2 linked regions of the Struthio camelus genome follow. The protein of the gene in region 2 interacts with the protein of the main gene of each other region in a biochemical or structural test. Links are inferred from orthologs where the notes say so. Each region holds a gene or a part of one and is shown on either strand. Other genes may lie near its edges.

Region 1 (7,273 bases), on a different chromosome or scaffold from region 2:
TGGCGCACGTGGCCTGGATGTACCAGTTACGGTGGCGCAAGGAGTGCAGCCCCAGCTTGTCCGTGATCTCCGCCGCGTTCATGGCGTTGGGCAGGTCCTGGGGGCAGAGACGGGCGTCGCGCGCCGGGCTCGGACACGCCGCGGCGGCCGCTGATAACCCCCCCCCCCAGCCCCGACGCCGTGGGGATGGGCACGGCCGCGCCGCCGGGGGTGGGGAGGCAGCTGAACCGCCAGCCACGCCGCCGCGGGGACAAGCGTGGCCGCATCACGGGGGCTCCTAAACCGCAGCCCCAACGCCGCGGGGATGGGCACGGCCCTGCCACGGGGGCTGCTAAAGCTCAGCCCTGATACTGGAGGGGGCTGCAAAATCCCAGCCCTGATGCCATGGGGATGGGCAGGGTCCTGATGGTGGTGGGGGGGGGAGCGCTGCGAAATCCCATCCTCAGTGCCATGGGGATGAGCGTGGTCACGCCACAGGGGCTGCTGCATCCCAGCCCTGACGCCATGGGGATGGGCATGGCCCCACCGTCGGGGCTGCTAACCCCCAGCCCTGGTGCCGCAGGGACAGGCACAGCCCCACTATGTGGGTTGCTAAACCCGAGACCCAATGCCGCAGGGATGGGCACAGGCCTGACGCCACAGGGGCTACAAAACTCCAGCCCCAATGCCATGGGGATGGGCACGACCCCATTGCGGGGGCCACTATACCCCAGGCCTGAGGTCACAGGGATGGACAGGGCCATGATGGGGCTGTTAGCTCCCAGCCCCGACGCCACATGGATGGGCACGGTCCCGATGCCACGGGGATGAGTATGGCCCCAACACGGAGCCTGTGAAACCCCAGCCCCGACGCCACGGGGACGGGCACGGCTGAGTCCCGCCCCCGCTCCAGCCCCACCTGCTTGTTAGCGAAGACCAGGAGCACAGCGTCCCGCAGCTCGTCCTCCGCCAGCATCCGCATGAGCTCCTCGCGCGCCTCGTTCACCCGCTCCCGGTCGTTGCTGTCCACCACGAAGATCAGCCCTGGGGGGACGGAGCCCACGGCGCTGGGGGGCAGGACGGTGCCGCCCCGGGGCTGCCCCAGCCCCCGGGGGGCCCCCGGCCTGGCCCCCCGCCCTGCGGGGACCTACCCTGGGTGTTTTGGAAGTAATGCCGCCAGAGGGGCCGGATCTTGTCCTGCCCACCCACGTCCCACACGGTGAAGCTGATGTTCTTGTACTCCACCGTCTCCACGTTGAAGCCTGCGGGGAGCGACAGCGGAGGGAAACTGAGGCCCAGGCGGCCGCCCCACACGCGCTCCCCGGCGTCCGCGCGGCCACCTCCCTCCGTCCCCACGTCCCAGCTCGGCTCCTCCTGCCCTTAGGGCCGCCCGGGTGGGGAAACCGAGGCAGGGAGGAGCAGACCCCTACCATGGGCAGGGGACCCCGGCGCGTCCCCCTCCTCCCCGCACACCTATGGTGGGGATGGTGGTGACGATCTCGCCCAGCTTCAGCTTGTAGAGGATGGTGGTCTTGCCGGCGGCGTCCAGCCCCACCATGAGGATCCTCATCTCCTTCTTCCCTATGAGGCTCTTCAGCAGGTTCCCAAAGATGTTGCCCATGGTGCCGGCGGTGCTGGCTCCGTCCGGAGGCAAGGCCGAATCCTGCGGGGGTGCAGGGCGAGCGCTGGGCCGCGGGGGCCAGCAGTGGGGCTGGGGGTGGCCACGTGTCCTGGGGGGGGCTGCAGGGCTCAGGGATCCCCCACACCCCAGGGGGCTGCAGGGCTTGTGGACCTCCCACACCCTGGGGGGGTGCAAGGCTCAGGGATCCCCCATGCCCCAGGGGGCTGCAGGGTTTGGGGACCCCCCCATACCCTGGGGGGGGTGCAGGGCTCGCGGACCCCTCACATGCTGGGGGGGGTTGCAGGGCTCCAGGCCCTGCTCCGGGGACCCTGGGGGCGGCAGGGCCCCCCCTTGTGCTGCAGCCTGCAGAGGGGCATCCCAGGCATGGCACCCCGCGGAGGGGAAACCGAGGCACGGCGCTGGCAGGGGAACCCAGGCGTCCTGGTTGCTGACCCTTCCCCACCTCCTGCTCTTGCGGGGGGGGGGTACAGCCCAGCCCCCAGCCCTACCCGCCCCCCCAAAGAGGCAGCGGGGTGTCCCCAGCACCACCAGTAAGGGGCAGCCCCGGTTCCTGGGCCCAGCAGCGCCACTGCCCCCAGCCAGCCCCGGGGCACCGGTGGAGCCCCCCCAGCCCCGTGGGACCCCCACAAGGCAGGCATTCCCCCGCCCTGCATGGCCCCCCCGCCCTGTTCCTGGCACCCTCCTTCGGATGCAAAGCCCCCTCCGGATCGCGCTGCACCCCTCCAACGCACTGCACTCCTCCCCCCGGTGCAATGCACACGCCAGCGCCTTGCACCCCCCACCCCCGGTACGATGCACCCCCCCGGCTTGCACCTCATTCCCCCCCCGGACTGAAATGCAACCCCGATGCATTCCCCCCCCCCAATGCATTGCACACACACCCCCGCGCAACGTGCCCCCTCCATGCAGTGCATCCCCCAAATTCACCGCACGTTCCCCCTCGGTGCACCGCATCCCCCTCTCGGTGCAGTGCATCTCCCGCCTCCCCCGTGCAATGCCCCCTCCCCCGGTGCACCGCACCCCCCCCCCAAAGCCTTGCCCAGCCCCTCCCCCGGTGCAATCCCCCCCCCTCCCCCGGGTGCAATGCAGACTCCCTCCCCAATGCACCGCTGCCCCGGTGCAACGCACCCGCCAATGCATCGCACCCCGTGCAGCCCCCCCACCCCCCCGCCCCCGGTGCGATGCAGCCCTCCCTCCCTTGCACGGCTCCCCACGCTGCAGCGGCCGCGCCCCCGCGCGATGCCCTCGCGCGTGGACGCGCCCCCCCCCCCGCCGCCGCGCACCTGGTGCCGGTGCCGGTGCCGGTGCGCGCCCCGCCGCCCCCAGCTGACTCTGCACCGCGTCCCGCCGGCCGGAAGCGGAGGCCCGAGCGCGCACGGATCTCGCGAGAGCGCCCGTTCCACCCCCCCCCCCCCGCGTCGCCCGTACCGGGCCCGGGGGCGCGGGGGGGTGCGGAGCTCGCGAGAGCCGCGAGCCGTTGCCATGGCAGCGGCTGCAGCAGTGCGGGGGGTGGGGGTGCACCCGGGGGGGTGCGCGGGGCTGGGGTGCACGGGGGTGCATGGAGGTGGGGCGCACGATGGGGATGCATGGGGCTGGGGTGCACGGGGGGAAGGAGGTGGGGTGCACGATGGGGGTGCATGGGGCAGGGGTGCGTGAGGGGGGTGCATGGGGCTGGGGTGTGCGATGAGGGTGCATGGGGCTGGGGTGCGCAATGGGCGTGCGTGGGGGCTAGGGCGCATGAGGCTAGGGTGCATGTGGGGCATGCACGGCGGGGTAGGATGCACGGCGGGGTTGCATGAGGCTGGGGTGCTCCAGGCTGGGGTACCCAGGTGTGGGTGCCGGGGGCTGGGGTCCACGATGGGGGTGCATGGTGCTGGGGTGCACCGATGAGGGTTTGCAGGGCAGGGGTGCATGCAGCTGGGATGCAGGGGGCTGCATGCAGGGGGCTGCAGTGCAGGAGGCAGCGGTGCACAGGACTGATGTCCGTGATGGGGCTGCGAGAAGCTGGGGGGGGTTCTCTGACGGTGGTGCGCAAACGTGTGATGCATGATGGGGTGCCGGGGGCGCAGCAGAGAGGGTGCACAGGGCGAGGAACGTGATGGGGGTGCAGATGGTGGGGTGCGCAATTGGTCTGGGGGGATCCCCCATACCCCGGTGGGGGTGCATAGACAAGGTGCAGCGGGTGTGCGGGGTGGGTGCGGGGTCCGGAGTGTCCGGGCGCACCCACGAAGTGCGCCCGCACTGCGTTTGGGGTGCCCCAGCAGGGTGTGCGGTGGGGGGGGCTGCAGAGTCCCAGATGGGGACACCCTGCATTGCACAGCCCTCTGCACCACACTGCACGGCCCCCTGCACTACACTGCACGGCCCTGTGCACTGCGCAGCCCCACACACCACACTGCACAGCCCCGTGCACTGCACAACCCTGTGCACTGCGGTGCACACCCCTGTGCATAGTACAACCCCCTGCACCACACTGCACAGCCCCCGTGCACTGCACAACCCTGTGCACTGTGGTGCACACCCCTGTGCATAGCACAACCCCCTGCACCACACTGCACAGCCCCCGTGCACTGCACAACCCTGTGCACTGCGGTGCACACCCCTGTGCATAGTACAACCCCCTACACCACACTGCACAGCCCCCGTGCACTGCACAACCCTGTGCACTGTGGTGCACACCCCTGTGCATAGCACAACCCCCTGCACCGCACTGCACAGCCCTCGTGCACTGCACAACCCTGTGCACTGTGGTGCACACCCCTGTGCATAGCACAACCCCCTGCACCGCACTGCACAGCCCTCGTGCACTGCACAACCCTGTGCACTGTGGTGCACACCCCTGTGCATAGCACAACCCCCTGCACCACACTGCACAGCCCTCGTGCACTGCACAACCCTGCAGTGCGGTGCACGCCTGTGCATTGCACAGCCCCTCCACACTGCACAGCACCCCTGCATTGCACAGCCCCATGCACCACACTGCACGGCCCACATCTGCACTGCACGGGGGAGCCCTGGGGACACCCTGCACTGCATGGCCTTCAGCACTGCCCCGGCCAGCCAGGCTGCAGCCGGCCCAGCACCAGTGCTTCCACGGGGCTGGGCACCTCGCAGGGCCGAGGCTGCCGCATGCGGCCTGTTCCCAGCTGGATCCTCACTGGTGCTGGGTGCCGGGTGCACTCAGCACCTCCAGCTCCGGCACCTCCTTGCCCTGAGCCATGGGGCAGGAGCGGGGTGCTTGTGAGAGGACCCAGTCGTCCGGGGCCCCAGCCCCCCACAGCGCCACTGGCAGTGGGGAGCACACACGTGTGCGGGACACGTGCCCACCCAGCACCCACGCTGTGGGGTGCGCAGGCCCTGCCCGGTTGGCTGTGGGGGTCCTTGGGGGTCACTGCCACCGACTGGTCCTGGGGGACCCCGCTCCCCTGGGGCTGGAGCCAGCAGTTTGCACTGCAGTGGCGGGCAGCAGCGGGGCTGCGCGGGAAAAACCCAACGCTGAAGGAGCAGGAGGGACACGCGCTCCCCGCCAAAGCGTCCCGGGCCCAGGGTGCCCTAACCCAGACCTCATTCCCTTGCCCCCAGCCAAGCCGAGACCCCCCTTATTGAGCCCACCCGGCCCCACTCCTCTCCTGGGGCAGGAGGAGGGACCCAGGCACCCAAGCCCCCCCTGACCTACCCACCGCAGAGGCAAAGGCAGGTGGTGGGTGAGGGCCCGGCGGGACCCCCAGGGCCTCCCTGGCTGCCCCCGTCCCCTCTCGTCCCCCCCCACGAGGCCCCGTCCCACGGGCACATCCCCCCCCTGCAGCCGCCCAGGTGTCCTCCTGTCCGCCCCGTCCGGTGGGCAGCCCCCCCCCCGGCTGCCCGGCCCGCCGGCCCTGCCCCGGGGCCGCCGCCCCCCCTCGCCTCCGCTCCCGGCCCAGCCCCGCTCCGCCGCCCCGGGCCGCCCCTTCTCCGCCTGCTCGGTGCGGAGCCGGCCCGGCCCCGGTCCCGGCCCCGGCCCGCCCCCGGACAGCCCCCGCCTCTCCGCCCCTGGCAGGTAAGGCCGGGCGCACCGGGGGCACCGGCCGCCCCGACGGCTGCCAGAGCCGCTCCGCGCTGCCGCGGGCCCCGGCTCGGCCGGCCCGAGGCGGCGGGGCCGCGATTCCCCGGGGCACGGCCCGCCCGGTGCCCGCCCGGTGTCCGCCCGGTGCCCCCCGCTTCCCCCGGGGAAAGCAGAGGGGCGCCCCGGGGAGGGTGCGGCGGCGAGCGGGGACACCGGGGAGGGTGCGGGGGGCACTGGGCGGGGGTGCGCCTGGTCCCGGGGACACCGGGGAGCGGGCGGGGGGAGCGGGCGGGGGGAGCGGGCGGGGGTGCGCCCGGTCCCGGGGACACCGGGGAGGCATCGGACGGGGGTGCCCCCGGTCCCGGGAACACCGGGGAGGAGCGGGCGGGGGTGCCCCCGGTCCCGGGAACACCGGGGAGGCATCGGACGGGGGTGCCCCCGGTCCCGGGAACACCGGGGAGGAGCGGGCGGGGGTGCGCCCGGTCCCGGGAACACCGGGGAGGCATCGGACGGGGGTGCCCCCGGTCCCGAGGACACCGGGGAGGAGCGGGCGGGGGTGCCCCCGGTCCCGGGGACACCGGGGAGGAGCGGGGGGCACCAGGCGGGGATGCGCCGGTCCCGGGGACACCGGGGAGGGTGCGGGGGGTCCGGGCGGGGGGGGGGGTGGACGGGAGGCGCCCGGAGGCACCGGGCGAGAGGCGCACTGCGGCGACCGGGCAGAGGCTGCGCCCAGCGGCGGAGGGGCGCAGGGGGCCGGGGGCGGCGGTGAGGGGCCGCCCGTTGTGTCAGCTCTTGGCCCGCTCCGGGCGCAGCTGCGCGGGGCGCCCGGGAGCCCCGGCCGCCCGGTGGAGCGGGGGCCAGCGCTCGCCGGGGACTCTCCGGTGGGGGGTGGATATTGGCGGGGGGGGGTAGGGGGTCGCGTTTCGGCCCCCGCCGCTGGTGACACGGCCCCGGCCAAGACCCTCCCGGCCGCGCCCCGGGGCCTCCCGGCGGCCGCTGACCTCAGCCCCGGGAGCCGCTCCGGGGCGGCGGCGGGAGGGCGCGGCGAGAGCCTGGCCCGGCCGCCGCCGCCGCCGCCCGGCCCCGGCCGCCCCCCCGGGGCAGCGGCCCCCGCGGCCGGGAGGCGGCGGTGGGGGGCGGCCGGGGCGGAGCAGGTGCCAGCGCCGAGCGTGCGGCCGCCCGTCCCTGCCTGCACCTGCAATGAGCTGCGGGGTCTCAGCTCAGCGCGCACGGCTGAGCCCCGCTCCCAGCGGGGCCCCGGCGTCCGGCGGGGCCCTGGCTGCCCCCCACGATGCTGTGCCGGGGGCGGCGGGGGCGCCTGCAGGTGGGACGCATGCCTGGGAGCGTGCCCGCGTCCGGCGGAGGGATGGAGGACGCGGGGCTGAGCTCCCCATGGGGCCAGGGCCCCATCGCCACCCATGGCCACACGCAGAGACCGAGGGCTCCCAGCTGTGTGGGGGGGGGGGGAAGAAGGCACGGCAGGGGCACAGGCGGGAATGAGCACAGCCCTCTCGGGGCGGGGGGAAGCTCCTGCCTCAGTCCCTGCTGCCACCCCCGAGGTGGGGACCCTCTCCCCACAACAGTCCCGGCCCTGTGTCCCCCCCCAGCCC
Region 2 (7,966 bases):
GGTTTGAGGTTTAAATATTTACTTTAAAAGCTACAAGAAACAAGAAGTTACTTTCCTTCCGGGAAGAACTACAAGAACATAGTTCAAAATAAATGATAGATGAGCCTGTCGAAAACAAAGAAAATTACATCTTCTCACCTGCTCTGATGGAAGTTTCCCTAGTAACAACCAAGAACATATGTTACAAGTCAGTCCTCTTTAAAGAGACCAGCCAGCAGTATCAAGCCCAGAATACAGGCATCCAGAAGAGCACTGAACAAGTACTTTGCAATTCTAAGAACTGAATATAGCATCCATGACTGACACAGGACTAGAAAGTTTGGCAAGGGTTGTTTTCAAAAAGGATTTTGAAGGAATCTTGCCCATCTCTTGCAGCAAAGAGATTTTCGTCTTTCTTTCACCATCTTTCTTGATAGAGCTTTTGAGGACTTGAAAGGAGCTCTGACCCAAAGAGATACTAAGTTTACAGAATGTCTCAGCAATTCTACTCTTTCACATTACTCTTCTGAGTCAATAGCCAATTCATCCCTCATTGACAAGATCGTAAAGAAGGTAGATTTCTTAATACTCTCACAGAAAACAGCTCAGAGTTGTTCTACTTGGAAGAAAGTGATTGACCTATATTCTGATACGAATTAAAGCCAATAACCCTGACCAAAAAGCAGAATCCATCCTGTTCTCATCATTCCTACTCCACTGGATAACTTTAATTGTTTATTTTTTTAACTAGATCAGTTCTCTACTCAGCTCACCTCAAAGCCAAACAAATACACGTACCAGAGTAGAACAGGAAGAAATAGTAGAGAATAGAGTGAGATTCTTCCACCTCCCAACAACATCCCAAAGGAGTGCCAACTTAAACGCATATCAGACTGCACCCTCACTCATTTTAAGTTCTGCAAGGCATAAACAAACGCGCATGATTTTTTTAAATGCTGGGAGGTTACATATCACTTCTTCAACTGACAAAGTAAGAAACAAACTATAAACAACAAGCAAAGGTTCAACTAGGATGAAGATTTTGGTGACATTTAACCAATTATAATAAGTGGTTATATAAGCATGCTTAGGAATTAGGTCCATTTATGATTTAAACATGATATCAGCAACAAATTTCTTTTAAATAAAGGGTTTATTCTTAATGTAGTTGTATTACCTAAGTGAATGTCTACCTCAGTCTCAGGACTGAAATGGATTTTCAACAGTACTTCTGCCTTTCTAAGCAGGATGCCTTGGCTTCTTCACTTAAGGTTTTCTGTTGAGAAGGGAGTTGCTAATAAGGTAAAATCCAGATAACTTCTGTCCAAATAACATTTATTATACGCTTATATTATTGTCTTCTTACTCCGCTGCCTGCAGAACCAAGACAAGTTTTGCAACTTTGCAGCCAGTGTAAGTACTGATGGAGAATAATGATTTAATACATACTTTTTAAATTTTGATTTATAGCCTACCAAGAAGAATACTAGGTTTTGCCAAGATCAAGTTCTTTTTTTTAAGAATTTAAAAGAACTACATTACACACTTTCTGCTGCAAATCACAGCACGGTTTCCTCTTCATACTCTTGCAATTCCCTTGCTGCTCCTATAGGCAATCAACATAAGTGGCTTTTTTGGTTGTTGTTAGGTACAGGAAGGATAAAAAGCAAAAAAACCCACCAAAGTCTACTTTACAGAATGAGATTCTCTCATATTTCACTTTTGAAATAACTATTCATATGTCAATTTATTCCATTGCTTCAGTTACGCTTATAAGAGCTAACGATGCTGCTATGAGAGTTACAAGGCACCACAGAGAGGAAGATCAGGGTCAAGGCCATAACTAATATCCACAGTCCCTACCCCAGGCCAATCTGTCCCTAACCTTTTTAACACTCTGCTCCTCTCCAGATTAACTAAGGCTCCAGTTATGACCTCTATGAAAACAGATAGAGCCAAGTGATCAAGACATTACCTTAGCTTCCACTTTTTCCAATGTAATGTTCCTCCGTGTTATCTATTTCTTACACGTTAAATATGTGCGTGCATGCATGCATATATACAGAAATACAACAAAGTGGATGTATCACAGTTGTAAGCCTTGGTGCCACACTGATCACACTGCATCCTTCTGCAGTGTGCAAAGACCCTGCAAAAGCCCTGCAAAAGACCCTTACGTATCTTTCTAGTGAACCACTATACAGATAACAAAGCCGGTGACAGCAAATGACAAGGCCTTGTTACCAGCTCCACTAAGCATAAAAAGAACATGCTAGGCACTGAAACTACATCCAGTCCAGGGAAAGTGAGATGAAAGGCTATGAACTGGCTCGAGTTAAAAGGCATAGATCAAAGATGCACTCTAAGTAACCAGCAGAATTGCTTATCGGCTGCAAGCAATGACAGACACAACACCTGCTTGCTGCACAACACCCTGGTGTTTCCACGCTTTGCTAGTGAATTAAGCACAGTAAGCTGGCGGCAAAACACAAATCTGAACACGTAACACAGTAAGTCTAAGGGGGTGGCCTAAGTCTTGGGAGCCTGAAACGTACACAGCTTGTAAAGCTTCTTCCCTCCCCGCTTTTTTCCTCCCTCGAAACCCACCTTCTCGCGGGCTCAGGCCCCGCCTGCCCTCTCGGGGCCGGGAGCCGGCGCCCAGCAGCGCCGCGCTCCCGCCCCGCTGCGCTGCGCTGCGCTGCGACGGCCCCACACCGCACCCGCGCTGCCGCCGGCACCGGCGGGCGGAGGCCGGCGGGCCCAGGGACACGTAGGGGCGGCGCGCGCCGGGCCCAACCGCCGCCCCCGGCCCAACGGCCCGGCCCGGCGCCCCCTGTGCTGCGCCCGCCCTCACCTGCGGGCGGCGCTGCTGCCGTTGCGGGTGCCTCGCGCTGGGGAAGAGGGGAGGGGGGGGAGAGGGAGGGAGGGAGGGAAGGAAGGAAGGAAGGAAAACCGGGCGGGCGAGCAGGACGGGCCCCGTCTCGAGCTTTATTTTCTTCCTTCTCCGGTTCCAGCTGGAGCCGGAAGTACTTGGCCGGAAGTACGGCCGACGGTGGCCCCGCTGGGGACACGCGTTCGCCTCTCTAGCCCACGAGGAGCGTGTCTATGCTCGCTCCCCCCCCCCACCCCCGGCCAAGCGGTAACCTTAGCAACAACATCCGGGGCCACCGCGCCTCACCTTCCCCCTCCGCCCCGCCTCCCGCCCGGTGCGCCTTCCCCCCCGGCAGCGCCTCCCTCTGCGCCGGGTTCCGCCGCCCGGCTCGGTTCCGCCTGTATTTTCATTTCTCGCTCAGGCGGCGGCTGGGGGCGGCAGCCCGGGGCTGTGGGGGGCCCTGGGCCATCAGCCCTGGCCGGCTGGGTGCGGGTGGCCGGCGGCGCTGGAGGCGGCAGGCACACGTCCAGCACGGCGGCGTGACCTGCCGTGCCTGTTGTCCTCCCTCTCTCGTGCGCGACCTGAAAGAGGCGCGGTACACCGGGAGAGGGAGCGACGGCAGGCGAACTGGGGGGGGGGGATGTGAATCCAGGGGGAAATAAATAAAATACAATAAAATAAATCCGCAAAACGTTCAGGCTCTAGGTTCACTTCTCATTCCTTTTCCCGCTTCTGTGAGCGGAGACTCACCCCCCCCCCGCCCCGTAGCCGCCCCACAGGCGCGCTGCCAGGCCTCCTCGCCTCAGCCGTCCTCGAGCGGGGCGCGCAAATCCTTTTCCCGTCCAAAGGCATGCACGGAGTTAAAATTCACCGAGTCGGTAGTTACGTGCCACTTGTAAACGCGAAGACTCTGCCAAGTGCGATGCCCGTGACATCAGGATGCATCCGTCTAATTAAAGCCGCTGATATCCCAAAGCGACAGAGCGGGGCGCGTACGTGCGCATCCGCGAGGCGACGCGGAGCACCATGGCCGAGGCACCGGGGAGCCCTTCGCCACTGCCCGCGGGAAGGAAAAAAAAAAGCATATCTATCGAGGAGAAAATTGACATCATCAGCGCGGTGGAGAGTGGCAAGAGAAAGGCAGACGTGGCAGCAAAGTACGGCATAAAGAAGAACTCGTTGTCTTCAATTATGAAGAATAAAGAGAAAGTTTTGGAAGCCTTTGAATCTTTGGGATTTGATCCTAAAAGGAAAAGACTGCGGACTGCTTTTTACACCGATCTGGAGGAGGCATTAATGAAGTGGTACAGAATCGCTCAGTGCTTGAATGTGCCGGTAAATGGTCCTATGTTGCGCCTCAAAGCGAACGATTTTGCCCAGAAGCTTGGCCATGGTGATTTTAAGTGCAGCAACGGCTGGCTTGACCGTTTCAAGTCAAGGTATGGGTTAGTATTCAGAGCTCAGCCGGTAGGAGCAGCTGCAACTGCTACGGTGGACGCTTTGACTCTTTGGTACCAAAATGTTCTTCCTTACTATTTGAATGACTATCAGCCAAAAAACGTGTTTAATGTAAAGGAGACTGGGCTGTTGTATCAGATGCTACCTAATAATACATTTTCATTTAAAGGGGAAACGTGTTCTGTTGGTAAGCTAAGCCAAGAGAGAATAACTGTTGTGGTTGGCACGAATATGGATGGCTCCGAGAAGCTTCCTTTGCTTGTTATCGGAAAAAACAGAAGTCCGTGCAGTTTCAAAGATGTGAAGTCGCTACCGGTGGATTATGAAGCAAATGGTAGGGCCTGGATGACTTCAGAAGTGTTTGAACAGTGGATGCATAAACTTGATGAGAGATTTCAAGCACAGCAGCGACGAGTCGTTATTTTTGTTGATCCTCTCCCAGCGCACTCAGAGGTAAAGCATCTGAAGGCTATTGATTTAGTGTTCTTTCCTCCAGACGCTTCTTCATGTATAGCTATGAAACAAGGGGTTATCAGAAGCTTGAAAGTTAAATACAGGCACTGTCTTTTCAAGAGATTTGTTGACTGTGTAATAGGAAGTAAAGAGTTTATGCTGACTCTTCTTGATGCGGTTGAGATGTTGCACCTGTGTTGGAGTCAAGTCACACCAGAGACTATTGTTAAAAGTTACAGTGAAGCAGGATTCAAGATAGAAACTGAGAAAAATGGTAATAATGACACAGAGGTTGAAAGTGATTTTGACTTGATTGCACATGCACTGGCAGCAGGAGTAGAGTTTCCAGCAGGTTTATCTTTGGAGGAATATGCAGTTCTGGATGATGGTCTGGCAATTTGTGAAATGCCTGCAAATAATGAAAGGATGTTTCAAAGTGCCAAAAAAAGCACTTCAGATCAAGCTGGGACATCTGTTGATGATGAAGGTGGTGATGAAGGTGATGCATCTCTGGCAGCCGAACAGCCTTTGCCATCAAAAAATGAGGCTCTGAGCGCTTTAGATACCCTTCGAAGGTTTCTCAGGAGTCAAGATGCGAATGATTCTCTTCGTAATTCCCTTGCTGACCTGGAGGATTTTATTCAACATGTAGAATGTAAATAAATATTGTTAACAAAACATGTAATGGAAAAAAGGAATTATTTAAGCAAACACAAATACGGCAGCTTATAAAAAGTGTTGCTGCAAAGTTCTCTAGTGTATCTTGCTTGGGTGCCTAGCTGTACATAATAATTGACATTTGAAATTACAAAAAAAGGCTGTGAACTGAAGCCTTCCAAAAATTAGGAGGAAAGAAAATAGACTTTCAGGTGGAGAGAGGAAATAACTTGAACGTTTAATATGATAACTGTAGTAGGTACAACAGACACCAAAATGACTCTTACAAGTTCTTCTGTGCACTCTGGCTGAGCTAGTGCCCACTTGAAATTCTGTGTCCATGAAGAGGTTAGCACTTCTTCACGTGGATACTTGCACTAGTATCTTTGGTATTATTTACAGTATAACAGTAAATATTTATGAGCTTGATGCTTTTGATACTTACACAAAAAATTGAATAACACAGAAAATTGACACTTGAGTCCTGAAAGCTAAGGGCTTTTTTTAAGAAGAATTTTCTTGTACTTGTTCAACAATCCCAGCTATAGGTTATTCTTGAGTGATGAACAGAGGAAGTTAGCAGCTTTGAATGTGTTTTATTTTCTTAAAGCTGCTCTTGTGTGGATATACATAAGTGGCATAATCATTTATCAAAGAATCAAAAGACAAGCAAGACTTTATTTGTTCTTCGAAGGGTTATTTTCCCAAAAGGGATCAAAAAGGAAGGTCACGCTTCTCCATTTCAGCCTTTTTGACATTTGGATTTCTTTAGGCTCTTCTGTACAACTCTATATATTTCTGCAGTAAATAGGAACAAATATTAGATTATGCAATATCTGCACTTGACAACTTATTAAGGTCTTGCTGTATTTACTATAGCTAGTAATAAACAAAGTACTTAAACCTGTCTTCATTCTTGTGCAGTGCTGTATAGCATGAAGACTTTGCTGCAGAATTCTATGCACCAATGCAGTTTACTATTAGAAACACTTTTAACAGAGGGGTTTTTTTATTAATGCCTTTTGAAATGAAGTAAATCATAGTACATTCGCAAGTCATCAAGTATGTGTTTCAATCAATGTACCATAGCCAAAAATCTGAATGCATATGAGGCCTACTGTTAGTGATCTCTTTCAAAACCTTATACATTTTAGCCTCTTTTAAATATTTTCCATATCTACCAATTTTAGCTTTTCGAAAGTTAGAGATGTTCATTTTTCTAATTTAGAGGAAGAATAAGATGTTTTACAGAAGCCCTTTAGGAAATCCGTGTAATAAAAGTATCCATTATGGGGCTAGGCCATGAGAAGCAATCTCTTGCCTATTTGAATGTTTAGTTTTCTATAAATGGCTTGGCTATAGCTTTGGTTACTTTCCTGGTAGAGGACAGTTTATCAATTTGCTTTTCAGAAAACATTTTATCAAAATACTGTAAGACAGTGAAAATACAAATTTCTATGTGAGAAAATACCTATGGCTAAAGTGTATGAATGTTTTACTAGAATCTCTAAAAAAATCATATTGTGGTTTCCTGTTATAAAACATCTAATGTGAATTCCATCCAGAACATACTCTGATGAGATGCCTCTTTTGAAATTTAAATAAATAAAGCCCTACCCAGAGATTTATAGATTCTGTGAAAGAGGTATCCCTCTCCATTAGCTGACTATTGTATGAAAATACAGATACAAACTTTTTTAAATTCAGAAGCTGTGTCAGAAAACAATCACTAAATGTCACTTGCTTAAATAATGTAGATCAAGCTTTTGAAAAGTTTGTTTGTTTGTTTGTTTTTGGCTAAACTTATTTTAAGTTTGTATAAATCCCATAGAACCCTATGGCTAATTTTCCCCACTAATCTTACGATTCAAAGCCCATATTTTTCTAACCAGTGGTTTCTCTTGCTAAAGGTAAATTTAGGGAAAAGTAAAATAGTGTGTTCCTATTTCTATTATCCATATAGCAAATTCCTTTATGCCTTAAGATTGCACTCTAAGTGGACCTGATCAGCCTGGGATCCCAAGAAGGAGACACTGGATTTCCCTCTAAGGGAATTCGGAGCGTGATGTGCTGATCTCCTGAGAGAGGCTTGCCTAAGTGAGCAGCAAAACTGAGTTAAGCAAGGGTTTAATCTGCAAGATCTGTAGTCTCTGCATGGTGCAGCTTCCAAGACCAGGAGATCTGATATAACCTAGTGAGCTGATGAGTAAGGAATTGAATTCCTGGATATTTACTGAGTGCTGTAATACTCACTCGCTCGTGGAAATAAAAGGAAGAATTCACCTGGACTTTGCAGGTGAATTGTGGAATTTGCTTTATAAAACAAACAAACAAGCTGGCAAGAGAATCCTTGTCTTTTACGGAAGATATTACTTTTTTTCTTGCCTCCTATTTCCTTCTGAAAAGGCAAGCTAAAATGCACTCACTAAAATTATTTTTTTTACGCCAGCCACTTTGTATGCTAATACTAAAACTTTCAAAATTATTTAGGAGCCCAAATATTTCTTCTCACTTGGATTTTGTTTACATTTATTGTTGAATACAGAA

What was found. The genes of interacting proteins can lie anywhere in the genome.
Region 1: the proteins of ARFIP1 (region 2) and ARF3 form a complex in vitro, tested with the Homo sapiens proteins (2 studies listed by BioGRID). The link is inferred for Struthio camelus from reciprocal best matches to the Homo sapiens genes ARFIP1 and ARF3.

What each region holds. Positions count from the first base shown.
Region 1 is NC_090969.1:994,649-1,001,921, reverse strand, and holds the start of ARF3 (ADP-ribosylation factor 3), read right to left. Parts: upstream 3,017-7,273; 5' UTR 2,905-3,016; intron 1,646-2,904; exon of another isoform or gene 1,643-1,645; 5' UTR 1,601-1,642; coding exon 1,453-1,600; intron 1,242-1,452; coding exon 1,131-1,241; intron 1,024-1,130; coding exon 899-1,023; intron 98-898; coding exon 1-97.
Region 2 is NC_090945.1:38,491,678-38,499,643, reverse strand, and holds the start of ARFIP1 (arfaptin-1), read right to left. Parts: upstream 3,018-7,966; 5' UTR 2,834-3,017; intron 1-2,833. Other genes in the region: TIGD4 (tigger transposable element-derived protein 4), read left to right, coding at 3,878-5,425. UniProt on the Homo sapiens protein: Plays a role in controlling biogenesis of secretory granules at the trans-Golgi network. Mechanistically, binds ARF-GTP at the neck of a growing secretory granule precursor and forms a protective scaffold.